4 linked regions of the Lonchura striata genome follow. Each later gene encodes a partner of the first gene's protein in a complex. Links are inferred from orthologs where the notes say so. Each region holds a gene or a part of one and is shown in the gene's direction. Other genes may lie near its edges.

The links.
Region 2: CACNA1S (region 1) and CACNB3 share a complex: the UniProt entries of both Homo sapiens proteins name them as parts of the calcium channel complex. The link is inferred for Lonchura striata from reciprocal best matches to the Homo sapiens genes CACNA1S and CACNB3.
Region 3: CACNA1S (region 1) and CACNG1 share a complex: the UniProt entries of both Homo sapiens proteins name them as parts of the calcium channel complex. The link is inferred for Lonchura striata from reciprocal best matches to the Homo sapiens genes CACNA1S and CACNG1.
Region 4: CACNA1S (region 1) and CACNB2 share a complex: the UniProt entries of both Homo sapiens proteins name them as parts of the calcium channel complex. The link is inferred for Lonchura striata from reciprocal best matches to the Homo sapiens genes CACNA1S and CACNB2.

The regions. Positions count from the first base shown.
Region 1 is NC_134632.1:1,007,235-1,014,531, reverse strand, and holds the start of CACNA1S (voltage-dependent L-type calcium channel subunit alpha-1S), read left to right. Parts: upstream 1-4,294; 5' UTR 4,295-4,523; coding exon 4,524-4,684; intron 4,685-7,297. UniProt on the Homo sapiens protein: Pore-forming, alpha-1S subunit of the voltage-gated calcium channel that gives rise to L-type calcium currents in skeletal muscle.
Region 2 is NC_134629.1:6,104,312-6,112,268, reverse strand, and holds the start of CACNB3 (voltage-dependent L-type calcium channel subunit beta-3), read left to right. Parts: upstream 1-4,943; 5' UTR 4,944-5,030; coding exon 5,031-5,072; intron 5,073-5,221; coding exon 5,222-5,314; intron 5,315-6,363; exon of another isoform or gene 6,364-6,408; coding exon of another isoform or gene 6,409-6,414; intron 6,415-6,891; exon of another isoform or gene 6,892-6,929; coding exon of another isoform or gene 6,930-6,971; intron 6,972-7,957. Other genes in the region: ADCY6 (adenylate cyclase type 6), read right to left, coding at 1,183-2,016. UniProt on the Homo sapiens protein: Regulatory subunit of the voltage-gated calcium channel that gives rise to L-type calcium currents. Increases CACNA1B peak calcium current and shifts the voltage dependencies of channel activation and inactivation.
Region 3 is NC_134621.1:8,799,506-8,807,141, reverse strand, and holds the start of CACNG1 (voltage-dependent calcium channel gamma-1 subunit), read left to right. Parts: upstream 1-4,626; 5' UTR 4,627-4,728; coding exon 4,729-4,969; intron 4,970-7,636. UniProt on the Homo sapiens protein: Regulatory subunit of the voltage-gated calcium channel that gives rise to L-type calcium currents in skeletal muscle. Regulates channel inactivation kinetics.
Region 4 is NC_134603.1:137,020,061-137,027,154, forward strand, and holds the start of CACNB2 (voltage-dependent L-type calcium channel subunit beta-2), read left to right. Parts: upstream 1-4,076; 5' UTR 4,077-4,169; coding exon 4,170-4,268; intron 4,269-7,094. UniProt on the Homo sapiens protein: Beta subunit of voltage-dependent calcium channels which contributes to the function of the calcium channel by increasing peak calcium current. Plays a role in shifting voltage dependencies of activation and inactivation of the channel.

The DNA.
Region 1 (7,297 bases):
GGGCATCAGCGCCCCTGCCTGCCCGCGGCTCTCCCCGCGCCTCTCCGGCCGCGGGCACCGCCAGCCCCGGCGCTCGCTGCCGCCCGCACCTCGCAGCCAAAGGCGGCCCGAGCTGCTGCTCCGCTCCCGGGAGCGAGTCCCGGGCGGGGACGGAACCGCCCGGGCCCGCAGCAGCTCCGGCACCGAGGGCGGGCGGAGCTGCGGGGCCGGGCAGGGGCGGCGGACGAGCGGCAGAAGGGCTGGAGAGCGGCTACGGCAGCGTTTGGCTCGGCTCGGCTCGGCATGGCACGGCTCGGTTCGGCTCGGCACTGCTCGGCTCGGCTCGGCATGGCACGGCTCAGTTCGGCACGGCTCGGCACTGCTCGGCTCGGCACTGCTCGGCTCGGCTCGGCACAGCTCGGCTCGGTTCAGCTCGGCTCGGTTCAGCTCGGCTGAGCATGGCTCAGCTTGGCGTGGCTCAGCACGGCTCGGCTCAGCTTGGCTCGGTTCAGCTCGGCTCGGCACGGCTTGGCTCAGCTTGGCTTGGCACGGCTCAGCTCGGCACGGCTTGGCTTGGCACGGCTCAGCTCGGCTCGGCTCGGCACAGCTCAACTCGGCTCGGTTCAGCTCGGTTCGGCACGGCTCAGCTCGGCTCGGTTCAGCTCGGCTCGGCATGGCTCAGCTCGGCTCGGTTCAGCTCGGCTCGGCATGGCTCAGCTTGGCTCGGCTCGGTTCAGCTCGGTTCGGCACGGCTCAGCTCGGCTCGGTTCAGCTCGGCTCGGTTCAGCACGGCTCAGCTCGGCTCAGTTCAGCTCAGCTCGGCATGGCTCAGCTCGGCTCGGTTCAGCTCGGTTCGGCACGGCTCAGCTCGGCTCGGTTCAGCTCGGCTCGGCACGGCTCAGCTCGGCTCGGTTCGGCACAGCTCAGCTCGGCTCGGTTCAGCTCGGCTCTCGGTTCAGCACGGCTCAGCTCGGCTCAGTTCAGCTCAGCTCGGCATGGCTCAGCTCGGCTCGGTTCAGCATGGCTCAGCTCGGCTCGGTTCAGCATGGCTCAGCTCGGCTCGGCTCGGTTCGGCTCGGCACGGCACGGCGGCAGGAGATGCACCTGCGGGAGTCAGGCCCCCATCACAGCCCTTCTCTGTGGGACCTTCGCAAGGCCGTGCGCTGATGGAGCGGGAGAGGGACAGGCAGGCCCAGGAGGGTGCGAGGAAGAGGAGTGGCTGTGAGGAGGCTCCACCAGGAGGAAGGAGCCGCTCGCTGCCGGGCGGGCAGGGAGCGGCCCCGTCGGCACAGCGCTGTCCCGGGTGCGCCGGAGCCGTGCCGGGTCGGGTTTGGTGCCCCGTGCCAATCAGAAATTAGAAAACCTGAGAGAAGGCTCACATACTGTGCAGCTGTATGCAAACCCTGAGATGAGAAATGCTGACTTAGAAATGCCATGGAGTAAGACAGACGTTGTTGAGAGACAAATGGAAATAGAAACAAGTTTCAAAGGTTTTCCTTGCAAAAAAGACTAGATACTTTGGAGAAATAGAACTATGAAAGATGCATTGTAGTAGGACCCAGGAGGGGTAATTTTAGATGATTTGCTTTAAGGCATTTGCAGTATAATGTGGCAAATCTGATAGGCCATTATAGCTGATAATTATATTGTAATTAGGAAATAGTTGGCTTTTGATTGTGACGGCATGAATTATAACACCTGCATTGTCTCACCCTTCACGTGAGACTGAAAATGGGATAAAAGTTTCTAAAATGCCTCTCAGCTGCCCCATCTCTGGGTCAGAAAAGGGATTAATCCGACATGTGCCGACAGCTCCCGGCGGGGCTCAGGGCGGCTCAGGGCTGTGCGGGCCCGGAGGGGCTGCGGGGATGCCCTGCCCAGCCCCGGCCTCCTCCTCCTCGGGTTCCCGGTGTCCCGGGCAGATGTTCGTCCTGGGCACCCCCGCTATCTGGGCCCCGCGGCCTTGCAGACCCTGCACAGGCTCTTCTGCACCGGCACCAGCGGGAATAGGGCTCCTGGCTTGTGCTTAGGGTTTAGGGGGATATGATGGCTGAGTGAGAAGAGGGATCTGCCTCACAAGGAAACGGACCCCGCAGCAGAAATGATTTGACTCTGATTTGCAGAGCAGAGTGGTGTAGAAGGGGGCAGATTGCTGATTTAACCCTACTGGAAGCTGCCCTCGGCCACGGCGGGGGGTTTGGGATGAGATCGTCTGTAAGGTCCCTTCCAACCTAAGCCATTCCATGATTCTATGAACCCCTTCACAACTGAGGGCATCCTCCTCCAAAGTACATCAAAACTGGCTGGAGCAGCTGCAGGAGTTGCTCTCCCTGCCCTGGGCTCCCCCGTCACTCCTTTCTGGCCCCCAGCACAGCTGGCTGCACACCTGGCAAGCATTTCTGTCCCTGGTAGAATGACTCCACAAAGCCAGGGAGAGGAAGCTGCGAGCAAGGCAGCGCAGTGCTGTGGGTGGAGCAGCACCCTGGGATGCCCGAGGTGGAGCAGGGCACAGCTGGGCAGTCTGTAACAGCTGTAACAGCTGTACAACAGGGATGCCAGGAAAGCCCCAGGAAAACCCCCATGAAAACACATCTGGTGCCTCAGTCCCCTGCTGAGGAAGGTGCTGATAACCTGCCTCTCTCCTTAGCTCAGCTCAGGAATTTCCATACCATTCATCCAGTCAGGCTTTCCCAAGCCCAGCAGAGCTTGGCAGGACACAATCCAGCCTAGTGATGCTTCAGGTTTTGGCTTTTATCTTTTTCAGATTCTATTCTGCTTTAGTGTGTGGGTCTGGGCTTCATATTAGTGGATGGTGAGCTCTTTTCACAGAGTGGGGAGACAAAACAATTCCTTCTCTAGCTGGGGACCCAAGGACAGCTGATCCAGATCTCAGGTCCAAGAGCATAAACCATGTGGGCTGAAGAGAGAAAAACAAGAAGGATGGGACTGCATGGGCTGGGGCTTTAACTGGACAATTAACTCTAATATGCAAGTGGAGCAAAACATATAAAAGTGTGAGACCCCATGACCAGTCACCCATTTTGGGACCATTTTGGGTTGTGCTGCCCAAGGTGAATGTATTTGAGACCTCTTAATAAATCCCTACTTTATTCTTTAGCTCTGTCTAGTCTCTGTTCCAGGTCAGCCTTCACAAGGCAGCACTAGGCTGGTTGGGTTCCTGCATCCCAGACATCCTCCACACCCTGCATGCAGGACTTACCTCTGTAGGGCTGAGCAGGTGGTTGTTCAAATGACCAGTGCCAGCCAAGGGTTTCCTCTGTGCCTCCAGAAAAGCAAGCCTGAGCAGGTTTTGGACTCACCATGATTCCCTGGAGCTCTGAGATTGGGCTGTCCAGCCAGTGGAACGGACCAGCCTCGCTGGCCCTACAGCCCCAGTATGCCGTGGTGCCGGCAGAGGTGTGCACCAGCTGCAGGGGAGATCCTGCACAGGAGGGGCTGTTGCATCGCTGTAAGCTCCTCTCGCCGCAGTTCCCCGAGCGTGGCGTGCTGGGCGGCGAGGGAAGAGAACGGGCGGCCGCTCCCCCTGTGAAACTCCGCTGTCCCAGTCGGTGGTGCGGGGACAGACGGAGGCGACACGGGACTTGGGGGTGAACAGGATGGTTTTACTCAGTGAGCCCCAAGACCCCCTTGAGAGGGGGGGGCAAAGGTTTTATACAAGAACTCAGGAGGACGGGTGTAGGAACAGTAACCAATAAGGGAATAGCAGGGCAGGAGTTTAGGGCAGGACTAACATATCACAAACCTATCAGGGGAAGCAGGGGAGTGGAATAACACAAAGTAAGTAATAGGGTGTTGAGCCTCACTAAATAGACAGGGAATGCTCTGGAAGCAGGGAAGGGAGCTAGGAGGAATGACAGGGAAGGTTCCAGGAAAAGGGGTAGGGAAAGGGAGGATTGACAGCTTGGAGAGGAGAGGGTTAGGGAACAACTGGGGAGAGGAGGAGATTAGGGATGGGGGGGAACAGATATTGAACAAATATCAAATTAAAGAAGAGACACACCACTGCAAGGGGCTGATGGGGTGAGGGGGGGGAAACTTCCTTGGGAAGTGGCCAGAGCTGGCTTCTCCATCTCCCCCTGCACGATGTGATTCAGCAAATGCACATTGCCCCGGGCAGCCCGGCTGCTTCCCGGTGCAGGTGGGGACCTGGGGACAGATCTGACCTGGGGCACAGGCGCTGCTGTGTCGGAGCAGAGCCCAGCCCAGGCAGCCTGTCCCACCCCCAGCCCAGCCAGTGGCACGCCAAGCACTCGCCCAAGTCCCCATGTGCTGGGTACAGAGGGAACAGCTGCAGGGGCCCTTCTGCTGCCTCAGGAGCTGGGACAGCACCCAGAGCCAGGCCGGGATCTAAATTTAAACTCATGCTTTGTGTGTTTGTACATGCGAGTGCAGGCTCCAGCCCCCACTCCCCCAGCACCCCCCTGCTGCACGGAGGGCCAGAGGAGCTCCAGCCGGCGGGGACCTGGGGAAGGGGGGCTCCACTGCAGGGCAGCAGGGGAAGAGACAGCTAGGGGAGCAACACCATGGAGCCCTCTTCTCCCCAGGGTGACGTGAAGAAGAGGCAACAGAAGGAGAAGTCCAAGAAGCCGGTACCACCAATAGCTCCTCGTCCACCCAGGGCTCTGTTCTGCCTAACCCTGGAAAACCCCCTGCGGAAGGCGTGCATCAGCATCGTGGAGTGGAAGTATCCTCTGGCTGCAGGGCTGGGAGCAGTGTGTGTGTGTGTGTGTGTGTGTGTTTGTGTGTGCCTGTGAGCATGGCAGGGCTGCTGTGGGCACCAGAGCTGCCAGCCTGTTTCAGGCTTGTGCTGTCTGAGGCCTGTCAGAGGCAGCGAGGAGCTCAGGGAGCCTGTAGGATGCACTGGCAAAGGCAATGGCAGTGCTGCCAGGGCTGCTGCGGAAAGCTGGGACTGAGGTGTAGGTCATGGGGCTGAGGAGTGGGTCATGGGGCTGAGGGGTGGGTCATAGGGCTGAGGGGTGGGTCATGGAGATGAGGAGTAGGTCATGGAGATGAGGAGTGGGTCATGGGCTGATGGGTGGGTCATGGAGATGAGGAGTGGGTCATGGGGCTGACGAGCGGGTCATGGAGATGAGGAGCGGGTCATGGAGATGAGGAGTAGGTCATGGAGATGAGGAGTGGGTCATGGGCTGATGGGTGGGTCATGGAGATGAGGAGTGGGTCATAGGGCTGAGGAGTGGGTCATGGAGATGAAGAGTGGGTCATGAAGAGTGGGTCATGGGGTGAGGAGTGGGTCAGGCCATGGGGCCTTTGGTGGGGTTGGACAGGGACAGCCTGGGGGAGGTGAATGTTTTGTGTGTGTTGTGTGCTGGGAGCAATGTGGGACAGACAGGTGAGAGGGGAGGGGGTTTGGTGTGGCAGGAGGGGGCCCAGTGCCCATGCAGGGGTGGGGATGGGGTCAGGCTGGGGACAATGTGATACTCTGGAGTTTTGGGTGTGGGTAGGAAGACCCTGGTGAGTTGCTTGGGATGGCTCCTTGTGTTATCACAATCTGCCTGATCCCACAGCTGTGCTCCCAAATCCTTGCTGCCACCATTGTCCTCTCAGCTCCCTCTCCCATCCCTCCCCGGTACTGCTGTCACCGGTGAAGGCTTTTTGTGGGTGATGTTGTTCAGAGGGATAGTCTTTCTTTGTGCCTTTGGCTTAGTATTGTAGTTTGGGTGTTGCTTTTTGACCTTTTCACTGGGGCATTGTCGCTCAGAAGTACCAAGATGTCATGTTCCTGCCATGCATCCAGAACTATCACTTTGTTCACCTGTGTTTTATGTAAAGGAAGAGAATGGGAGATGAAATTTTTCACTTTGATTTCAGCAAAACTTTTGGGCTGTAGCAAAAAAGATGGACTGGGGAACAGAGTCGAGTTCTTCCACCACATCTTTTCTCATTTCTGTTGCTGAACCTTATCTGAATGTTCCTGGCTTTGCCAAGATGATCCCATCCCTGGCCAGGCTTTACTCTGGGAGGTGGCTTGGTCACCTTAGACTGGCTGTGTTGCTGTGGAGATACCAAAACCATGCCCAGAGATGCTGCTTTGCCCAAAGCCCAGGGAGCCTCTTGGCAGGCATGAGGTCACGCTCACAGCCCTGCTGGTGCTGGAGTTTGAGACCTCATTCCTTGACTGCAAGGGGACTCTCTGTCCTCCAGGGAGTGGAGCAGGGCCAAAACTGAGGAGTTCTCATTTTGTGTGTCTCTGGCAGGAGAAATGATGGTTCTGTGGGCGCACAGAAGGGAACTGTGCCTGTGTCTTAAACGGGCACTGAGAAAGGAGGGGAACTTGTGTGAATGCCTGAGTGGCAGTGGAGGAGCTGGAAATAGGATTTCCATCTTGCAGCATGCTCAAACACATTCCTCCTGCTGGGCCAGCACGTGCCAGAGCAAGTGCACAGCACAGGGAGGGTCTTCCCTACCTCGGTGCTCTGGGGGGACGAGTGGGTGCCCCACAGAACGGTGGCATGTGCAGGTGGTTGTGACCTGTGCAGGACAAATGATCCAGGGAATCAGGTTTCTGCAGTGCCTGGCTGTATTTATACCCAGATGCACCTGGCTGCCCTCACTCAGGGATCAGGGTATGTGACATGGTCGGGTCGTTCCAGTTCCTGGGGTTATTATGGTCTGCAGGGACATGCAGGCTGCCAAGGGGAGATTAGCTGTGAGCCTCTGGTGTGGGGGTACCTGCCTGTAGGTTCCAGTGGCAGTATGTGCTCCTGCTCCCTGGGCCCAGCACTGCTGTCAGAGCACAAAGCTGAGCCACAGGGTGGGCAAGGGGCTTTTCCAAGCAGTTGAAGGGTGGGGACCATCATTCCACTCAGCCCAGGGTGGGTGGAATGCTGACTTGAGGCAGAGGGTGTTTTGTGCTGAAATTTGCTCAAGAAATTCAAGAAATCTGTTCATTAGAACAAGGAAATGGAATGTTCTGCAGCTTACTGGGTGTTGTGTACAAGACAGTCCAACAACCTGATAGTTGTTGGGGCATGTCTGGCTTTGTGACACCACCCTGGTATTTCAGGTCAATCTGTAGCCAGGAGAACTTCAAGGCAGATGGGTGAGGACTATCGGGAGCCTGGAGAAACACAGAGCTGCAAGACACAAGGTCTAATTCCTGCTGCAAGGCAGATGTGGGGACCCTTGGATGCTGTGTGGTGGGAGCATGCTGGGCAGGAAGCAGTTAGACTGCAAGACAAGGAGATGAGGAGGATGCTGGGGCTCTGTGGCAGGAGGCAGACACGCTGTACCCAGTTACCCACATGGCTGGTTTTTTGGTTCAGTCTGTCCCACTGCC
Region 2 (7,957 bases), on another chromosome or scaffold:
AACAGGGCAACGGGGCTGCAAGGACATGGGGGACTTGGGGCTGTGAGAAACCAGGGAACAGGGGATGCAGGGACCTGGGGACACAGAATGGGGGGTAAAGGGGACAAGGGGACACAGGGTGGGGGGGCAAAGGGGACACAGGGTAGGGGGATCACAGAGGCTTGGGGACAAAGGGTAAGGTAGCAGAGGGCACTTGGGGACACAGGGGACATGCATAGGGTGAATGTGGAGGACCTGGAGACCCAGGGCAGGGGGAACGTAGGGATGTGGGGTGTAGAAAACCAGAGCGGGGGGATCTGAGGACACAGGAGCCAGGGGTACATGGGGTCCTGGAGCACGGGGGTCATGGGGACGCCCTCGGGAAGCAGAGGAAGTCAGAAAGCAGAGATGACTGCGGAGGGAGCTGCGGTTTCCCCCAACCCCATCCCCCGGGACCGGGGCCAGGGCTATTTATAGTGCTCAAGCACACTGGGACACTGGGAACAGAGGCCTCGCATCCCCTCCCTGGCCCCACTGCATCCCCCCAGAGCCCCATCGCTCCTGCCCTGAAGGGGTGAACCCTCCCCCGGGGGAGCGGCCCTTCCCGTGACCCTGCTGGCCTCCGATGTCGTTGTGTTCCTCGCCCTGTGCCCCGCGGGGACTGCACGTGGCCCTGGCCCTGGCCAGGCAGGGCGAGGGTGAAGGCTGACGAGTGGCTCTGCTCACTCAAGGAGGGGGAGCTGCTGGGGCTGGGAACATGTGGCCCTAGGGATAGGGGACCCCTCTGCACCCCCCTGTGCAAGCAGCATTCTGCTAGAAGCACCCACCACCTCAAAGGGGCAGGACAGGGGACACTGGCAGTGTCCCAGCCCCCCTGGGTGACAGCCACTCCCCTGCCCTGGTGCCCTGGACTTGCTTCCCTCCTCGGGGGTTTCCGCCAGCCCTACAACGGGGGCTTTGTGGGTGCCCCTTCCTCCCGGTGCAGCCCACAATGGTGGGTCTGTGCCGGCATGAGGGGCCCACCCTGTCCCACCACGGGACCCCAGCATGGGATCTCTCCCCGGGGGTCCCTCCTGCATCTAGAACTTTCCACCAGCAGAAACATCCGAGTGAAAAAAAAAAAAACCCAAGTTTGCAGAGCAGGATTCAGGGACATGAGGTCCCACCTGCAGGTGGGTGGGACCCTCCCAGGCGTGTCCCTACCTGCTTCCAGAGGAAGGGGTCGGCAGCGTTGCGGTGCCAGGCGATGGCGAGGTGCAGGGCGGAGAGCAGGACCCCGGCCAGCACGGCCGCCCTCATCCGCACGGGCAGCAGCGTGTAGGTGATGTAGATGAAAAAGACGCTCCACCAAACGCCCTCGGCCGCGCTTCGGGGCGCCACGGCCACCGTCCCCAGCGCCTGCACCCCGGCCAGCAGCCCCAGCACCACATAGCTCACCACCCACATATAGTCCTGGGGGAAGGCGCTGCGACTGCACAGCACCATGAGGAGCAGGAACAGGGCTGTGGCACCGGCCAGCGCGGCGGCTGCCGGCACGTGGGGGGCACCGGGCAGGCAGAGGAAGAGCAGCATCACCCCACAAACCAGCACCAGCACTCCCATCAGCACCGTCAGGCTGCTCTGGTTCATCTGGAAGAAGTAGCGCTGGTAAAGCCGCTCCAGTTTGGCCGACTGGAAGCGTTTGGAACGGAAAACCTGGAGCAGCCGCCGCCAGCACTCTCCGGCCGATGGCCGCCCCCCGTGTCCCCTGGCTCCCTTCGGCCCCTTGGCTTCGCCGTCTTCCAAGCCCGTGTCCACCGATTTGAGTCCCAGGTCGCCCGCGGGCCCCTTCTTGCCGTAGTGATCCTCCTGCCAAGTGCAGCGCAGCCCCCGGGGGGGTCCCGCACCCCGCTCCATCTCAGGGTCCTGCAGGCAGCTCATGTAGCGGGGCCCGCAGAGGCCGGCTCGGGGCCGGGGGCCCTTCTTGCCGTTGCGCTCCCCCCATGCCGTCTTCCGCTCGTCCACCTTGGGCACCAGGATGCCGCTGAACCACGACATGCTGCGGGCACCGAGGAGGAGTCAGCGCTTGGTCCCCCATCCTGACACCCCGACGGGAGCCCCGGTGTCCGCGGGGGTGCGAGGCCGTGCAAAGACCGGAGGGTCCTGATGTCCCCACCGCTACCCTGGGGGATGCAGAGCCCAAGTCCCGGCTCTCCCACTGCCCCCATGGCGGCTGTGGGAATGGCCAGTGCTGGGTTCCCTGTGCCCCAGTGTCCCGGTTCTGGGTGCCCGGTGCCAGAATCCCCGTGCACAGCGCTGGGTTCCCGGTGTCGGGTTCCCGTTGTCCCGGTGCCCGGTGCGTGGCCCTGTGGAGGCCGCCCCGAGCCCGCCCTTCCCGGTGCAGCGACCTGCGACAAAGCTGGGACCGACCCGGGCGTCCCGGCCCTGTTTGTCTTGAACAGCGGCCAACGGGTTTTACCGGGCACGGCCGCCCCGGGGCACCGGGAACGAGCCGGGACGTGGCAGCCGCTCTCTGCTCCGGGCGAGCGGCAGTGAAGAACGGCCACCGGGAAGGGCCGGCCCTGGTGGCGGCGGCCGCCTCCCTCCCCGCTCCGGGCACGGGAGCCCCGCCGAGCACGGCCCGTACACCGGGACCCACCAGCGCCCTCCGGCCGCCGCGACGGACCCTCCCAAGCACCGGCAGCTCCCTCCGGCCGCCGCACCGGACCCCGCCGAGCACCGCGCAGCCCCCCGGGGCCGCACCGCTGCCGCCGCCCGGGGGCCCAGCCCGGTGTCGCCCCACCGCCTTGATCCCAGTTCCAGTCCCAGTCCCGATCGCGGTCCCGGTCCCGGTCCCCGACGCCGCCGCCGCCGCCCCGATCCACCCCCCCCACACACCTCCCGCCGCTCCCGGTTCGCCCGGGCGGCCCCGCTCACCTCCGCCTCCGGCGCCGCCGGCCGCGGGGCCCCGCGCCCCGCCACGGCCCCGCCGCCGCCCGCTCCTACACGGCGGCCGCGCCGCGTTCCCGCCGCCCCATCTCGCGCCCAGGCCGGGCCCCCGGTGGCGGTGGCGGCCCCGGTCCCGGTCGCGGCCGCGCAGCCCCGGCCCGCCCCGGCCGGTGCCCGCCCCCCCTCCCCCCCCCCGCCCGGATCCGCTCCCGGGCGCTCCCGGCCGGCGGCCTTAAAGGCGCAGCGGCGGCGGCGGGAACGGCCCGGTACGGCCCGGAGCGGCGGGGGCGGACTCGCACCCCGGGGGCTGCGCACACGCGCACGGACACACGCACCGACATGGCGGGGACACGCGCGGCGGGGCCCCCCGTGTCCGCACAACACCCCCGAGCGTGTCACTTGCACACGCACCCCAGTGCCTTCCCCTTGCACACCCGCCCCGCGCACATCCCGGTACCCCCGTTGCACAGGCACACACTGCACGCCCTAGCACACGCGTGTTGCACCCACACGTGTGTGTTCACACGCACACGAAGCCCCCTGCACACCCGTGGCGTGCACCCACCACCTTGCGCACACCCCTGCACGCTCACGCACATCCCCTTGCACACGCACACACAAACCTTTGCACACGCGTTTTCCGTGCCACACATAGATATTGCACATACACAGCCTCCTCGCAGATTTACACGCCCTTGCACACACACACGCACCCTTGCACACTCAGGCAGACCTGTTATACACTGACACATAAACCCGTCTATATTTGTGTGCAAACACACGAATCCCCGTGTCCACACACCTGTGCACGCCTTAGGCACGGCAGACGTGCACACAGGTGCGGGTGCACACATGCAGCTTGCACACACAGCCCTTGCACACGCAGCCTGGCACACACACAGACGTTCACAGGGGCACGCACCCACCTTGCCCACACTCCACACACTTCATACACGCTGCCTTGCACACACACACGTACACTCACCCCTTGCACGCTCACCTTTACACATACACAGCCCTTACACACACACCACCCCCATCTTCATACACACAGTCCTTGCACACCCCTCGTTATACACCCGTCACACACTCACAGCCCCCTTTGCGCGCACCCTCACCCTGACACACCCCTTACACACTCACAGCCCCCCTTGTTTGCACACACGCACACCCCCCTTGAGGATGCCTCCACATTTCCGCGTGCCCTCGTGCCCAGCTCGGCGCAGGGCACCCCCTCACTACGCTCCCCGCACCCCCACGAGTGACCGTGGCACCGGCCCTGCCGTCCCCCCGTGGCAGAACCCCCCCGTGCCCCCCTTCCCTCCCCCGCAGCGGCGCCGCCGGGCCGCGCACCCCCCCCGCCCCGGCGCCGGGCCCCGGGGAGCGCTGATTAATCATTAATTAGGAGCCGCCGGCGGGGCCGTGTCCCTGCGGCCCCACGCGGAAGTCTCGCCGCGCGGGGGACGGGGGAGGCCCACGCTGGGGCTCCGTGGGGCTCCGGCTCCATGCCCGGCCCGTTGTCCCCTTCTGCCCCTCGGGTCCGGCGATGTTGAAGCACCGGAACCGGCCGATACCGTGGGCATGGCGGGGACACGGGGAGTGGGGTGGGTGGGCTGCGGCCCCCCACGGCCCCGCCTGCCCCACGCGGGAGACTTTGGGGGCGTAACCCCGCGCGGGGGGGGGGGGGATGATGCCCTGGCGTGGGGGTGGCAAAAAGAGCCGTGGAAGGGGCATGGCGCCTGCGGGAGCCGTCCCGGTGGGATGCGGGCGGAGGGGCTCTGGCTCCCGCATCCCCGCACACGCGTGGGCAGGGCTGCGGCGGCCCCGGGGGGCTCCTCTTCCCCGGGACCGCGCGGCCGGCCGCCGCAGCGCTGCGGGTTGTGGGCAGGGTCCGTTGCCGGTGCCTCCCGGTGGCTGCCCAGCTGCGGGGGCGCGGACCGGCCGCCGCGGGGATGGGCGCGGGGGCGGGCAGGCGGGGGCGGGGACGGCCGGGACGCCCCGGCGGCCCCGTGTGATGCGGAGCGCGGCAGTGGCGGCGGCGCGGCCCTTCCCCGCGGAGCGCCGCGGTCCGGTGTGGGGCTGCCCCGCCGGGATCCCCGGGGCTCCGGTGGGTGCCGCCGGGGATGTCCGCCCCGGCGCAGCCTGATGCTTCCGGCTCCTTCCAGGTGAGCAGAGCGGAGCCCTCCCGGCCGTCGCGGGCCCCGCGCGGCCCGGTTCGGTTCTGTCCGCAGAGCCGGTGGCCGCCGGTAGCAGCTCCGCGGCGGGGCCGAGCCGCCCGGGGCCGCCCGGTGCTCACCGCCTGCTCTCGCCGCAGAGCCCCCGGAGGCTCCCGAAGCGCAAGAGCCGCTTCAAGCGCTCGGACGGCAGCACCTCGTCCGACACCACCTCCAGCATCCTCCGCAGGCAGGTGAGCGGGTCGACACCGGCACCTACACCGGCACCGAGACCGGCACCGGCACTGGGGCGGGGCAGCTCCGCCAGTCCCGGGTCCGCCGCTGCTGCGGCTCCGCATCAAAGCACGGAGCTGGGGTGGGGAGCGGGGAGCGGCCGAGCGTCTCCCACCCCAACCTCCGCACTGGAGGGAGCTCGGGGGCCGCCTCCGCCCCGCCGCTCCCCCGGGACCGGGGCTGGGCGCCGGCACCGGGCGCCGGTAGCATCGCAACAGCCGCTCCCCACGGCTAAAAATAGCGAGTGCTGCGTCAGGGCCGGGCCGGCGGCGGGCACCGGCACTGCGGCGCGGGGGGCGGCCCCGGGAAACTGAGGCAGCGGAAGGGGAACGGGCCAGGCGGGGCCGTAGAAGGGGCCGCGGGGCTCCCCTCCCGCTCCCTCCACCGGCACTGGGCCGCCTCCTCGCTCTGCCGGGGAGAGGCACGAACCTCCCCGCCGCCCCCCAACCGGTGCTTCGGTTTCCTCCGGCCCCGAGCTGCGCCCCCTCCCCGGCCGCCGGCGGGTGAGCGGTTACCGGGGAGGCTCCGCGGAGGGCGGGGGGGTCCTGTCGGGGCGGCCCCAGGAGGCGCAGAGCGGCCGGAGCATCCCGTTCCCATCGTGGGGTAGCACCTGCTGTACCGCTACTCCCCGGTACTCCCGGGGACCCCGCGACCCGGCTCAGCACCCGGCGCGGCCCCTTCAGCACCTCGGAGAGGGCCCGGCCGGGCCCCGCCATGTGCCCGGTACCGGGGCCCGTTCTCCACGCCTGGTGCCCGGTGCAGGTGTCCGCGGCCTGTCCCGCCGCTGTCCGAAGCCCCCACCCAGCGCTGCCCCGTTGTTCCGGGGCCGGCCGTGAGCTGTCCCGGGCCGGTCCCGCCGGGGCCCGTCCCGCTGCGCGGTAACGGGGCGGGCCGGCCCGGTCCCCCGGGGCCCGTCGCTGCCCCCCTCCTCGGGGGCGGGGGGGGGGGGGGGCGCGGCGGGGGGGCGGGAGCGGCTCCGGCCCCGCCGCAGGGTTCGCCCTGCAGACGGGGCTGCTGCCGGCTCGGGGCAGGACCGGAGCCGCTGCACCGGAGCATGGAGGTACCCACCGGCACCCCGCCGCCGCCGCCCCGGAACCCCGAGCGGCGCGCTGCGGGAGGCTGCACAGCCCCTCCGCCGCTGCCCCGGGACTCCCCTCTCACCCAGAGCTCTCTTAGCAAACTCTCCCCCCGCCCCGGGCCACCGGGAGCTGCACCGGTGACCCGGCCGGGTGCAGCTCACCGCGGCCGCTCGGGTCTCCCGGCTGCCAGCGCAGCCCCCCCCGCAGCGGTCCCCACCGGAGAGGGGCCGGAACCCCCCGCCAGCACCGGGAAGGGGGAACGGCGACCCCCAACACACACCCACCCACTCCCCCCCCGGGCTGAGCGGCGGGGGCGGCTCCGTGCGCCCCCGGGGGGCGGTGGGAGGCGGGGGCGGGGAGGGGCGGGGAGGGGCGGCGGCGGCGGAGCGGGCAGGGCCAGCCGGAGCCCGAGCCGCAGCCGGAACCGGAGCCGGTGCCGGTGGAGCGGGGCGGGGGGGGGGGGGGCGCGGGCGGTTCGGCTCGGCTCGCCCCGTCTATGTCGTTTTCTGACTCCAGCGCTACCTTCCTGCTCAACGAGGTACCGGCTCCGGTACCGGCTCCGGTACCGGCCGCGCGATCGGGGGCGCCGTGCGCGGGGGGCCGCGGTCGGTTTTGGGGGGAGCTGCGCCCCCCGGGTTGGTGATGGCGCACGAGGGGGTTGTGCCTCGGGGGTGCACCGTGCCCGGTGCGGGGCTCATGCCTGCTGCGGGGGATGCTCTGCCGCCCCCCAGCCCTTTGTTCCTCGCCGCCGCCACCGCTCCCGTCCCTGTCCCCCCCCGCCGCAGGTACCGCCGGGACCGGGACCGGGCGGGAAGAGAATCCCGGTACCCCCGGCCGGGGGCCCCGCGGGGGCCGATGCTCCAGGCCGGGGGGGCTGCATGGGGGGGGGGGGGTCGTGCATGAGTGGGGGGCTGCAGATGCTGTCCTGGGGGACTCGTTGGGGATGATGGCGGTGTTGGACTGGGGGGGGTCGCACCGGAACGCTGCGGAGCCATCCCGGGGATGCTGGGGGGGTGAGGGATGCTCGGGGCGCGGTGACGATGCTGGGGGGGCCGTGCTGGGGAGGCCATGTTGGGGGGGGCTGTGCTGGGAATCCGAATTGCCCGGGGGGGGGCGGAGGGGGTGCCCAGGCTCCCCCCGGTGCGAGCGGGCCGGGATGTCCAGGTTAACGGGGGGGCGGCGCTGAGCTCAGCCCGGCAGGGCCCGGGGGACCTCGGTGGGGGGGGGGGGGGGGGGGCTCAGCCACATTCAGGGGCCTATAAATATTTCACCGCAGCTTCTGCGCCTGTTCCCGGCGCAGCGGGCGGTGGGTAAATACCGGCGCGGTGGGGAGGGGGAGCCGGGGGAGCAGGGCTGAGCACCCCAGGGTGGAGGGCGGCAGGAGGAAGATCTACATCCCAGCGTGACAGGGGTCATCTCCCCATCCCTGGGCCTGCGGGGGTGTCCCCCGTGAGCCCCCCAGCACGTGGGGGCTGCACCCCAGGGCGGCCGTGCTGGGTGATGCTACCCGACACACCCGGCTTG
Region 3 (7,636 bases), on another chromosome or scaffold:
AAACAAACAAAAACAAAAACAACAAAACCACAAAAAAAAAAAAATCAAAACCCCAGTCCTGTCCCATTAAAAACTTTGATTCTGACAAAACTGAAAAATTTGCAGCATTCCTGACCATGAGCAGTGTTGCTCCATGGTTGATGTATTTGAACAGAGTTAGATTGTGATTTGAAACCACTCAGTGATAGTTTAAAAACATCGTCTGTTCTTCCACAGCTCTCTGGTTTTCCTGGACAGCATCAAACAAATGAGCCCCATTTCCCAGCAAGGCCTGCAGATACCATAAAACCATATCATTAACAATAATCAGTCTTTTGGTATATAACATACTGTAGCAGCAGAACTAAAAAAAAAAAAAAAATGCTATTGGATCAGATTTGATTTTCCAAGAAACAAAATTTCAGGTATACCATGAGCTCTCTCTTCCTTATTTCTCATACACAATAGGAGTAAAAGCAGAAATCACTTCAGCTGCCCAGACATCTAACAATAAACTATTTTTCTGTTTCTTTTTCTCTCTGTATGGATCACATATCCACAAGGGCTAATATATCATGTCCCTTGAGGCTACATTTCTGTCTGCAGTTCTAAAGTGTTATTTCCACTGTGCTTCAGTTCTACTGGTATAATCACAACCATGTATAATGTACTTAATCCTTACTTTTTAAATAAACCATTTTAAATGTATTTGGTTTTGTGTGGAGAAAGGTATATAGATATTTAATTTCCAAATTCTCTGAGCTGAGATTTCAGGTTATTTTTTCACGTTTTTCACTGTTTGATTGCAGCTGGCCATGTTACTGGGTGCCAGTATTTCAGAGGAGATAAAATTATTCTTGTGGTCCCAAAGACCACAAAATCTCCAAGATTATCTACCTTCGCTATATTTTTGGTTAGTTGCTTGGATATTAAGAAAAACCTTCTAGTTTCCAGCTTAAACCTGTCCCATATGGGTACACAGTGCTCTCAGTGCCCAGTTTGAGCCTGGTGTGGTGGCCAGAGGCCACTGCAAACCACCCTTGAGGAAAACAACCCAGTGTATTCTGAAGTGCCTCCTTGAGCCTGAGCTTTCCTCAGGCTTTTGAGCTTTCTTTTGAGCTCACCTGGAGCATCCTCCTCTCCCTGATCTTTCCCATCTTGCCTGAAGGAAGCGTGGCCCAGGTGCTGCAGCAGCACGCAGCCCTGCTCTGATCAGCACCACCACGTCCCGCGGGACGAGCGGTGCCAAGCGCGGGTCAGCCTCTCCCCACCCCAGACAGCCCCAGCCATCCCTGAATCACAGACAGGATTCCTCCTTCAAATACTTCTTTCGACTTCACCTCCCAGCTCCTCAGCCTCCAGACTGTCTCCAAGGATGAGGACTGGCTGCCTGTCTCTGCCCACCTCTCCCAGGCTCACGATGAATTGGCACGTCTGGAGGGCGGCAGAGGATTCATCTTTTCAAACGCCTCTGACACGCCGTAGTGAAGCCATTTAAAGCTCAGGCCCAAAGCTGCTCCTCTTTGAAATAAAAATAAGGTTTTTCCCACATTTATGAGCAAGTCCGTGGGTAAATGGTGACCCCAGGAGCTGTGGCTGCCTCGCTGTGAACAGGGGTGTTGGGAAAAGTGATGTTTGAGGAGGGGGGAAGCAGAGACAGGCTTCAGAAAGTGGAAAAAAGAGGATGTGGCATTTCCTTGGAATGAGAGAACCGACAGACACGGGCAGTGCCTGTGTCTAAAAGGGAAAGGAGAGTTGGTGCATCTGTCTGCAGCCCAGCTCGGCTTTCAGCCAGCGCTGCCGCGCTCCAGAGCCAGGGTCGCGTTCCCAGCGGCACCGCCCGCGGTATTTTGGGAGCTCGGAGCTCTGGGTCACTCATAGGGGCAGCAGGGATGGCCAGCTACACACAGCAGGCTGGGAGTCTACTGCAAAATACAACAGCCAGCCAAAACTCCCACATTCAGCTCTTGTGTTCCATGACTGCCGCCCCGGAATCGGGGAGCTTTCAAGGGTACCATTGGAGCCATTCCCAGGTGTTGGCTGTGCAGAACCCACCCCGATCCCATTGGTCTCACCACACTGGGGCAATGCAGGCTGGGGAGCCCAAATAGCACTGAGGAGACCCTGTTTGAAGAAAGCTCTTTGCTGAGCTCCCATCTGAGCTGAGAGCAGAGCAGGTGCTGCCTGCCCCTCTCTGGGTTATTCTGACTGGGATGGGTTTTCTGCAGAGCATTGTTCTGCAAGCAGGGAACCACAGAGTGAGGTTAATCTGCTCGTGCTGAATGCTGAGGCTGGTCTGAAAGAAATACAGAAGAGTGCAAGTGCTGGGGAGCAGAGCCAAGTCACCACCTCTGCCAGGGAACAAAACCAACACAGTAGTTGGGCTTCAGACGCCTCCTCTGGCATTTTCTCCAGAAGAGAAACAGAATTGTGTCCCTCACTCACTGCTGCTAAAGTGCAACTAATTGCAGCCCTCTTTGCTTTCCAACAGGTCCTCATTAATAGTCTGTTTATTTTTCATGTGATACCGATTTTTAAATGTGAATATTTACCAGCTGACTTAGGGAGGCTGCAGGAACCATTCCCAGAGGATTAGGCATCATGATCTTCTGGATGTGCAGAAAATTTCCAGGGTCTGCTTTAGTCCTGTGCTCCTCCAGAAATCTGTTTTGTTTTTGCATTTCCCAAATGCCCACAAATAACCCACAAAACCCATTTTTTTTCCCATGGGCTGGCAGTTCTAGGTAATTTTTGGAGGCTGGAGAGAGTGTTTAATCTCAGCTGCAGCAATGTGAGTTTGGGAAGCCACTGCTGCCCATGCTGGGGCTCACTGAAACCTGTTCACACTCCCAGCTCCACTCAGCAGTAGGGAAGGACCAATTATTCACTTCTGATTTCACTTCAGTTGTTCCCTGGAAATTAGGAAACTCAAAGCCAAACCAAGCCCATAGAACTTCTCAAGAATGAAGGACTAAATGAGAACAAAAAGTGTGATTCTTGCCAACACTGGAAGAGGCACAAAGACCAACGCCAGTGAAAAAAATTAATGAGTTCCCACCCCTGCAGTCCTTGTAGGTTGTAATTAGTCTAAAGCAGGATCATTAGCACTTGATGTCCCAGCAACCAGAGCCTCACTGTGTGCCCACATTTGCAAACACACATTCACTTCCCTCTGCTCCACCTGTGGAGTTTGTAGCATCAAGGAATTGAAGTTGAGATGCAGCTTCTGAGATCAACTGATGTCTAGCGAAATTTAACAAGAGTCTACTTCAAAGGAAAAGGCATTACATCTTTCATGTGTTTCTTTTCTGGCTTAAAGTCTGCTCCCTTTAGGTCTTTCTGCTTTCACTCTTGGTTCTGGTTTAAATGGAAGCCTCTAATATCTCTGCCAGCCCCAGCATGGGGCTGTGGTCCCTGGTCCCTGTCTTGCTCCATGTCCCCACTGCCCTCCCTGGTCCCCTTCCCCTCCAATTTTGCACCAGGTACCTTCACTGGTCCCCACGTCCCAGCAAGAATGGGGCTCCAGATGCCATCCTAGGTGCCCACATGTCCCTCAGCCCCACAGGGGTGTCTAAGCCATCCCTGTCACACATCAAGCAGAGTAATGTTAACCCAAGTCATACTTCAGTTATTTATTTTGGACCAATATTTTTAAACTTACACTATTTTCTCTCCCTTTCCCATGCTCTGCCTACACTTTAATTCCTTGCTCCACATTGTCCTCATCAACCTGAGCTGACACCTCTGCACCTTTATTTTGACATCAAACTGGGGTGTTAATAAAGCAGGACTGGAGTAGCTCTGACATTATCTTGACACAATGATATTTGCAGCTTTCCACTGGCATTTTTTTAACCATTCTTTTAACATTCAGGTACTGTCACCCTCCTCAGTTTGACATCACAATTGTAATGTCACCTCCACAGTGGCCTCTGCATTGACATTACCATCAAATTGGCTTTACAATCAGCTGAAATATCAAAGGGAAGGAGAGAGGCTGGCCCAGCTCCAGCAACCTGTGCTTAAGAGAGAAATCACTTCTGGAGAAAGGAATGGATGTGTTGGGTGGCTGCTGGAGCTACTGCAGGTATTGAGGGGAACCTGGTTGATAGGAAAGCAAACAAGTATTTAAGAGGTATTGCATTACAAAAAGAAAAAAAAAGACACAAAAAAACTAAAACAACTACAACAAAAAAAAAACTTGGAACCCACAAAAAGCCCCCAACAGCTCATAATAGTTCATGTTAATTAAGAATTATTATAAAAGCTTAGAATAAAAATAACTATAATACAAATAAATAATAAAATAGACATAGACTAGTTGGCTTATTTTATCACTCTCTGCCACAGTTCTGGGCTCTGGAGGCAGGTCCACCTCTGAGCTCCTGTGAGCCGCAGGCGTGGGGTGACAGAGCTCCAGGGCTATTATGCTGTTTAGGATCAGTCTGCACTCAGGCCCAGCACTATTATAAACACAGATGTTTTTATAACCTCGCTGAAAAGTTAATCATCCTATTAATGCCTATTTCTGGGCATGCTGCAAGTGGAGAGCCCTCAGCCCCTGCGCTCCGGCGAGCGCCCGGGTGGGCCGGGGCCGAAAGCTGAGCCGTGCCCCGGGAGCTCCTGACACAGCCCAGCAGCTGCCTGCAGCCCGGGGATGACATTTCCAGGCTCTCAGATGCGCCAGGATTTCGGGAGCCCTGGCGAACCCCGCGCCGTGCTCCGCTGGGAGCGCCGGCCCGCAGCGAGATGGACGAGAGCAAACCCCTGAAGGTGCGGCTGACCTTCTCCGTGATCCTGGTGGGCATCTCGCTGCTCTTCGCGGCCGTAGTGACCGACCACTGGGCCGTGCTCAGCCCCAGCGTGGAGGAGAACACCACCACCTGCGAGGCGGCGCATTTCGGCCTCTGGAGACTCTGCACCAAGCGCCTTTTCATGCAGGAGCAAGGTCCCAAAGAGAAGAGCTGTGGGCCCATCAGCCTGCCAGGAGGTACGTGAGCATGCAGCAGACTCACAGCAGGCTTTGCTCAGGAGGTTGGAGGACGTGGCAAAGGGAAATAGGCTCCACGTCCCTCACGGCAGAAAGGAAAGTTTGGGATGGGGTGCACGGGGCTGTTTTCGTGTTGGTGTGCAAACACACCTCGCTGCCAGCTCCTGCTGGGGCTGCTTTGCTGCCTTGCCTTGGTCTGTCTGTGACCATGTTTGAGTCTCCCGTGCAGCAGCGACAGTGGTGGGGAGAAGGGGAGGAGGATTGGGCACAGTGGGAATCACAACGGCAGATTGGGATGGAGGGAATCTTGCTGAACCCCAGCCAAGGGTCCTACAGGCACGCTGACAGCAGCAGGCAAGAGAGAGGATTTACGGGTCCACCAAACACAGCTGGTGGATTTCCAGATCCATGTAATCCCAGAGGAAAAGCCCACCCACGGTGGGCACTGGGTTAACTCTGAGCTGCTCCAGTAACAGCCATTCCTCAGGGCAGGGAGGGAGAGGGACCTGCAGGATGGTTTGTCAACTTCCAGAAACAAAAGAGTCATAAATGGAGATTGAATCAATTTCTCAAGGACTTAGGGAACCTCCTTACCTCTCACCAGAGGCACAAGCTCCCACACACGTCTTCCCCTCCAGTTCAATCGATGGGGAGGGCAGTGGGCACGGCAGCTTTCCGGGAAGGCTGCTCCATTCTCATGGTTAAAGGAGCTCATTATGTTTTTGCTGATTGCCAAGTCAGCAACATCCACGCCGTTTGCACTAATACACTCCCTCTGTGACTGAGCCACGCTGCTTTTTTAGAAGGCTTATAGGGTACTGGATGCCTTCCAGAACAGAAATAACAGGATTGCTTTCGTGTTAGACTCGCTGCTTGAAATGAAATATATGTTAACACATATTTGAAAATTTCCTGTGAAAAATCTTCCTGCTTGGTCTGACTGTATATTGCCCGTATTACTGCAATTCTTTATCTCTTTGGCCAAATTACATGTTGTGAAGAGAGGAGCTGAGCCTCAGCATGTGGGTCTGCCTCTAACCAAACTTGGGAGTGTGTCATCCATATGCTTAATGTCTCTCAGCAAGGTACTTACGTGCCTAGAGACGCATTCCTCGCTGCACGCCTTCCCCCACGCACCGAGAACTCCCACAAAAGGAAAAACAATAGAAACTGGTGGGTAAACAGCAAAACTGCACGACCGTGGGGTAAATATAAAACTCATAAATATCCAGCTGTCTGCACAAAGCAGATTCGCAGGCAGGGCGCAGGGAAGCAGCCGCTATCTTTGACAGACATCAGCATGTGCTCGCACAGACGCTGAATCGCATCCCAGCGCCGCATTCCGCCAGGCACAGAGCGACTGGGAATTGCGGAGGGGCTGGGCTGTGCCCCACGCCAGAGCTGGCTCGTCCCATTTTTAAAGATATTTGCGAATCCGGATGACAGCCTGCATCGTAACCACGTTGCAGAGGGTGAAATTCGCACCTCAATTATAACGTAAATACCTTCATCCCTGCTTTAGCCGGGGAAGGATGAGAGCAAAGGGAGGGGAGAAGAGCCCCGGGGCTGAGGCTGCGGCCGCACGGCTCCTGCTCCATTGATTTCACACTTCTGGGAAGGGATGTCGGCAGGGAAACACCAGGGTTGTGAAACCTGCAGCAGCCAAGAAAATGTGAATGAACAAACGCGCAGTAAAAGAGCAGATGCAGGCGCTGCTTTTCCTGAAAATCATGAGATATAACCAGATATTACTGCCAGGACTGGGAAAGAGGCATCAGAATTTATCACTGAATTAATAACCATTTACCAGTCACTCCCTGTGGAGGAAATGGATGGCATGATTAACGTTATTTATGAGGTTTTGAGCTCAGCGCAGTGCAGAGTGGGGAGGATGATTTGGCTCGCAGTCCACAAAGCAGGGCTGTGATTTAGGCAGAGGTTTAAAATTTTACAGCACCCATCCGAGGGTGTTGACAAATTGAAAAGGGTTCAGCATCCTGCTGTAACAAATAAAAAGATCAGGGAGATGGTTGTTAAAACCAGACAAATTCAGATTAACACTGAGACATTTTTAACTGTGGTCAGTGGGCACTAGGGCATTTTACTGCCAGCTGTAAACGGAGCTCAGTGTCACTGCCTGTAACTCTGGTGCTGGTGCTGAAAAGTGGTTCCTGGGCAGCACCAGGGGTGTTCAACAGCTCAAACAGGTCCTTGTAAATACAGGAACCTGAGCACAGGCAACCGGAGAGAAGTGCTTGAACAAATGGGCTGCCAGCAGGGCTCTGTCCCCTGTTACACGAGACTCACCCTGCAAGACAGGTGTGAAATGAAACTGCTTGGAGAGATAATCTCCAAAACTCCCCGTGTGTGTGTCAAAGGCTTCATTAGCCAGGTCAGAGCCCAAGGCCTGGCCCCCTCCAGGGCTCAGCCCTCACCTTAACACGTCCTCCAAGGTCCTGTCTCCCAAACTCATCACAAGTGGAAACCCCACACGAAACCCCAGGATTTTCCAACCATCCACCCTGCCACAAACTCCCCGTGCTCTGTCCATCTGGGGCTCCAGAGCAAGGTGGGCTCCAGCCCCTTCCCAGCCTGGCACTCCAATGCTTACAGGGGACAGCTGCCACCCAAAACTCTGTGTGGCCTGAACATCTCATGGTCTTTCCA
Region 4 (7,094 bases), on another chromosome or scaffold:
GGCTGAACATATTTGTGGGTGAGAATGCTATAAAGCCTTTTTGTGCTCTTGTGATTCAAGTATTTAATAAGAGAAAAATGATGCTATAAATAGGAACACCATAGTTGGTAAGGACTTGGGATACAAAAGGACACATGCAGTCTCAGTTATGACAGGAGAGCAAAGAAAAAAGCAAAAAAAAAATCAACTGAAACCAGCAACTTCTGCAGAAGTGCTTAATCAAACATGAACTTTGTGTACAACCCATCGACAGAAAATTTGCCTCTCACAAAGTGAACAGCTTGTGAGAGGGAGCGTGCCTTTTTTGGTCACGTTTTGCAAAGGGCTGAAAATATGTGCTTAGTAGGTGTTGTGGCTTTTTCAAGTATTGTGAGCCTTTCTGTGTTTTAAGAGCATTTTTACCAGTGTTTATATACTGCTCCTATCTTCCGTCATATGGAAACCCTCCTCCTTCCAATCCTGTCTTCTCCTGAACACATTGTAATAGTATCAGTCAAGGCTGTCTTAGGTGCATGGCACTTATATCCAAGAATACAACATAATAAACACGAGCTGGGAGAATGGATCAGTTCATTAAATCCAGCCAGGTGATGTGCTCTGATACAGACTGATAACGGATTCAAAAGTGAGCCCGTCTGGAGTGGCTTTGTTCAGACTTGTGTGAAAGATAAAGTACTAAAATAAGAGGAATCCCTTTAACTTGCACTTGCGACAGGCAGCTTCCAGTTTATCACCGAAAAAGATTAACCGTATCTGTTTTGAGATATTAAAACTGTGTAATCAAGTGAATTCTTTTTTTACAATATTGAATTTCTGGCTACAATTCATTTTAGGCAGGAGGTGGCACAGACTAATAGACAGCCAGCATTTCTTTTTAACTGAAAGACCTAGAGAAATTCTCTATATCAGGGCTTTAAATATATGCTCAGTTAAAAGCATTTTATATAGTTTCATAAAAATAATTTATTGTAAGCTCACTGGTTTGTATTTGTGCAAGTTTTTAAAGAAATCCCTTGGGTCTAAGTTACTAGCTTTTAGCTGCATTTGCACAAATATCAGCCAAACTTCCTTGGCCTATTTTTTGTACATTTAGGTGATAGTTATAGGCTAAACCAAACATGTACCTGCCATACATGGGTACAAAGGTTAGAACATGGTGCTGACACCACATTCTTATACTGATGGTAAAGAACAATTAAATATGCACAGTAATACAGTCCTCCTTGCTTTACAAGAACATCTAAACTCTCATGCAAAAAAAAAAATCCAGCTATTTTTGGCACCCAAATCAGGTTGTTTGTCAGCCTAAGCTTTTGGGATTGTTTTTTTAAAGAAAGAAAAAGGGCCTATGAACAAAACAGCCTGTGTTTTCTTCTGGTTTTCTAACATTTACATGTTTATAAAAATCCAAATAAGCATGCACAACACCTCTTCGTTGCAGATAAAAGTGTAAATAAATGCAGCAGGGTGGTTTTCTGCTGAGAAGGGGTTAGGCATACCAGGTTGCTTTTTCTCTTGAGAAAAAGCAAGCAATTTAGAATCTCTGCACATTGTTTTTACACATTGACCCTTCTCCTGGAGCAGAGGTGGCCAAAAACAGCATGCAGAAGGATGACTGTATGCATATGTGTTCAGCTGAAGGACTTTCACTGCACATTTCAAGGTTAGAGAACTTGGATTAACTGCTAAACAGAAGGGGTGAAACAGAATAAAATACAGTTATTTTTCTATGCTAATCTTCTAGCCACTCATTACATCAAGACAATGAATAATTGCTGCTAAAGAACAGTTATGTAGAATATTTTTCCTCAGAAAGAAAAACCAAATAAACTTACTAAAAATTCAGATGTTATTTGTGTGTGTGTGAGGTGAAACTTCTTTCCTGAGTCTTTTCTTTCTACAGAACCTCTATGTATGTACATAAACAAGCAAAATCATTACCATTATTTTTTTATAATGGAAAGGAAAAAAAAGACAAACTAATCATAAAAGACATGATTGAGCATACAAAAAATGAACTTCAACTGACATATTCAAGCTTTAATTTATAGGAGAGTAGAAATACTCTTTCAATCCAGATTCACAATTTATGGTTTTAGAAACTGTAATATTTAAAAAATAATCACTACTACTCTTACAGAAGGGTGGTATACTTAAAAAATGCTCCTGTTTATACACTCTTTACAAAGTGAAAATCCAGAAGGCAACATGAAGGGCCACTGTTACATGATTAAGTGACTTCCACTACCTTCTCTGTGTGAGAAAGAGCAGGCAATCCCTGACAGATGCCTGAAAATCTACCAAGTAAATGTACTGAATCATGGTGGATCGTCAAGTACCTTTCCTAGAGTGTCTTGATACAGAAGGATAAATTGTTCCAAAGCCATAAAGGTGCTAGAAATTCAAAGACAACATCTTCCAATAACAATACACCACCTAGCAATCATTAACACGAATACTGTGTTTAGGCTTTTCAGTAAATTCCTTTATAATGAGTAAAATTACAAAATTAGTAAATTACAAAAAGTAATTAAATTTAAACAATCTAATTTGTAAGTGTCAAAGAAATAACTACTTCAAAGCCTCTACTAGATGGTGAAGTATGAATTTTTCACACCAAATATCTAAAAATAAAATATCTTTTTGGTTATAACCACCTGAAGAACATCTGGAAGCAGTCCAGACTCCAGCATCTTTATAGTTTCAAGATTGTTGAACATGTCTATTGCGTTACTTGAAAGAAAGTTAAGCAATAAACCCCACAATTTTCACTTTAAATTAAGGTTGTGTTTTTTCATGGACAACACGCTAAAATTCTAGAAAATAATTTTGAAATATTGTCTTCAAAAATAAATATGGAACTTTATGGACAAGTGAAAGTTCTTCAAACGTCAGAGCACTTCCTCTTGCAGACAAAGCTAATTCTTCACAAAAAAAATGGGCAGTTCCTGTAAGATTTTCACTATTCATATAAGAAAATCCATAGGGGTAAACTAATTCAGAAAGGAAGCTTATTAGCTATTATGAAAAATGAAATAAATCAACCATGCAATCTGGCTAAAGCTTGAAAGTACTTTTTGAAATTGATCTGGCTTTTGTGCTGGCTTTGGTTTGCTGGCTTCTTTTCCTGAAAGTGACTTTTATTACTTTTAGTAATGGTTGTGATTTTAATTGTGTGACCAGGCCAGTCAGTTTCTAGACTTAGTTTTCACTGTTTACAATCAGCTGATAGGATATTTCACAAACCATCACATAGTGAGTCTGAAAACACAAGTTTCCCTTTCATGCTGCATGGGGCACAGCTAGGTCCCATCCAGTGGAAGAAAGGTATCAGTCCATTGTGGACTTCATAAGGTCAGAGAGTTTGGTCTCTATAAGGACCAAAATGATCTCTCATTCACAAGAAATGAAAGATCATCTCAGCGGTGGAGGGTGATTTTGCCGGATCAGGTTTCAAACAGGTGTTTCAAGCGCCTCCTGTGGGGTACCTGATAGCACGATTGAGATCGTACACTCACAGGTTATATAAAATTCGACAGCGGATTTCATCGTACTCATCTCTTGTTGATATGTGCATAGGAACCTCCAAAAAGCCCTGTCAACACAAGAGACCTATGGAACTTTGTCGAAGCGCCGGTTCGCTCGCTAACAGCACAGGTCTAAGCCGATGCGCGCTGAGGCAGGCGATGCCGCGCGGCCAGGCTGAGACGCCGGGCAGGGCTGAAGGGAAAAGCAGGGCCTGATGCCCCCCGGCCCGCCGGCCACAGCCCCAACTTCGCTGCTCGCCGCTCGGCCGCGCTCGGGCTGGGCCGCGCGGATGCGGCGCCGCCCCGCCCGGCGCCGCCGGAGGGAGATGCTCGCTGTCACTTTCCCTCTTCCCCACGCACCGCCCCCTGCCCTCCCCCGCGCCGCCGCCGGCGCTGCCCCGTCCGCGGCGCCGAGCGCTCCCCGCCGGCAGCGGGCAGGGCAGGGCGGAGCGGAGCGGAGCGGAGCGGAGCGGAGCCGGGCAGGGCAGGGCAGGGCCGGGCCGCCCGCCGCTCCTCGGCATGGCCGGGCGCTGAGCGGCGCCCGCCGCCCCGGCTCGCCTCGCCTCGCCTCGGCTCGGCTCGGCTCAGCACGGCTCTGTCCCGCCGAGAGGCTCGGCGCCCAGCCACCCGCTCTCCTCGCCAATGGTCCAGAGCGACATGTCCAAATCGCCTCCCAGCCCGGCGCAGGAGGTGCAGATGGAGCTGCTGGACAACCCCCTGCCCGCGGCGGCGGCAGCGCAGGTACGGCGGGGCTCGGCCGGGCTGCGGCGGCGCGGGCGGGGGCGCGGGCAGGGCCCGGAGCGGCCCGTCCTTCAACTTCGGGCACCGCCGGCAGAAAAGTTTGACGGCTCCCCTAAGGCGCCCGAAACCCCTGTCTTCGCCCCCACTCTCAAAAGCCGTTTAATTAGCACACATAGGATGCTCTGTGCCATAGAAGCATCGTAAATCAAAAGAACCTTGCGATTATTTGGAGGATGAGTATGTAAGAATACATTGCTTTTAAGCTGATCTTCCGCACGTGTACTGCAGGGTACGGCTATTTTTCCCTGCTCCAGTAACCTGTTGTATTTGTACCTGATGCTTACCACGCACGGCTGAACCTCCCTCGTCTGCTGCACGGGCTGGTGACAGTCTGTAGGTGAGAGAAGGCGATTCACGCCAGTTGTTCAGCAGGAATTTTGGGGAGGCTGAAGGTGTTGAACATGCTGCAGATTTAAGCTGCTCGATTTTCATGCAGAAGGTGGTTGTGCAGTCGTCTCAGAAATTTTAACAACTCAGTTCATTTGCAGTGTTCGGGTGGATGGGTGATGAGAAGGAGGTAGGGTAAGGCTTACTTAGACAAGACTTCATATTTTGAAAGGTTGTTTCTGTTTAATGTATGAATGTTGCTTAGTATCTTCAAGTTTGCAATAGTTGGTTACAAAGACTTCAGAGTGCTGTTTTTGAACCCATAAAAGGGTGGTAAAATCTGATTGTGTCAATTTCAGATTTCAATTATGCATTATCTTCTTAGGACAGAGGTTTTTTCCTTTTTGGGGTGCGGTTTTTACTGTTGCTGCCAAAGCTGTCTCTGATGCTTTGTTTGAGAAGGTGGACCAGCTCCATCCCAGTAGTTCTTGATTGACAGAGAAAAATGCCATCAGTCTGTCAACAGTCGTGGTGATTGATCTTTACATACTCAGGCCTGGTGACAGCAGAACAAAATCCAGGCACTAAGGCAGAGAGGAGGTTAAACTAAAAAAGAGAAAGTGTCTCTTTGGATGTCAGTAGCCTCCAAGCACAGAACAGACATTTCAGGAGGGCCATATGCTTTGCCAGCTTCTCCAGAAACAGTGGCAATGGAGCTAATTTTTGACCTACAAATCCCCCCTTTTTATGTCTGTATAGCCCTAAGCACAGATTCAGCAACTTTCAAATCATACGGTATCTCTCTGCTGTGGACAAATGTCAAATACCAATCATAAAATTGATTTCTCAACCTCCTTTAAGCTAGGGTTGAAAAACCTCTCTTTAGAGAGGAAGAATAGTTTGCTAACACCCACGTTATTTATGTTTCAGGTAATGCATTTATATTCTGTTTTATAAAACAGGTTTCTGAACACTCACAGCCAAAAAGATTCACTTTTTGAGACAGTGATAATGCACCTTTTTAGTTCAGGGATGTTTTTCAGGTTTTGGAATCAAAGTCATCAGGCAGATCAGGAATCATCTTCTCACTATGTACTTGTTTTAGTCATACATAAACCCTTGGTAGAGAGGAAATAAAGTTATGGAAACAAAAGGGCCTTTTGTCTGAATAATACTGCAAGTTAATTTCTTGGCAAGTGCTGCATTTAGAGGCAATTATTTTGATTTGAATTTTTGTTCCATGAACATTTAAAAAACCCCAATATTGTAAAATCTTGCTGCTTTAGAACACACTCACAGTGAGAAGGAGAGGCTTAATGAGGACATGTGAATCATCAAGTAGATTGCCTACAGGTACTTCAGATATGTGTACCACTGTCTTTTTCTCTAAGGTAGTTGAATATCAATCCTAGAAACATTTCTGCCAAATAATCTGTCAGGGGAAAAAAACCCAAACCAGCATGTGAACTTATGGAGTGATGTCACTCCTAAAAGTGTTCACTCTGAAGTGCTTCTTCTGGGAATTATGATTTAAGAAAATATTATTGACAGCCTTTGTAGAGTTGTACCAAGTCACAACAACTCTCTTATCCAAAATTTTACTTTTGCAAAGCTGATATTTCTTTTAATCTATCTTAACATCATGGTCAGTATTTTGGATTGTGCCTGTCCGTCCATTTTGGCCAAACTTGTCACCATGGGGCAGAGGCATGAAATGTAGTTAACACTCTAGAAGTAGTTCACTTAAAAGGCAGTTAAATATGTGAAATATTCCTAGATAACATCTGTGGAAAGTCTATTTCTTATTTTCATAATGCATTTTCCTAACAAGATCTGCAAACAAAAGAAAATCTCTCTGGGTGTTGGTCATGACAGTTATACTGTATTTTTCCAGGGAAGTTCTTTGCAACTGGGACGAAATATTGGTGTTTTTTTCTTGTATTAACTAAAATTCTATGGCTTTTAGGTCCATATGATTGTAAAAACATAGTTCTAGTTCTAGTTCAGTGTGATCTTAGTCCCAGTTGTATCTTGGTCTTAGATGGATTTGCAGTAGAGTTTCAGATGTCCAGTTTTATCCAGACAAATCTGCATGCTGACCAGTTACACTGTGGACTTATTCACAATGTCTAGATATATGTCAGTACAAACTGGTGGTTTTAGGTGTGGCCCTTTTGTAATGAAATCAGCATTAGGTTTTCTGAAAGAAAAGAAGCAAACTCTTCAAATGTACCAGTGTTTGGTGATCAGTTTTTTGGTGTATTTTTTTTAAATCAACCACAGTCTTCTCTTTAGTTCCTTATTTAAAGAACCCCTATTTTCAGGAATCTGAATTAGTAGAATATTAATTTTAATAATTTTAATTAACCCAGGTACTACTATGATTTGTTTATAATATACCATAACACATTAATGCCTTTCATGGTAACTCTTAGCCTC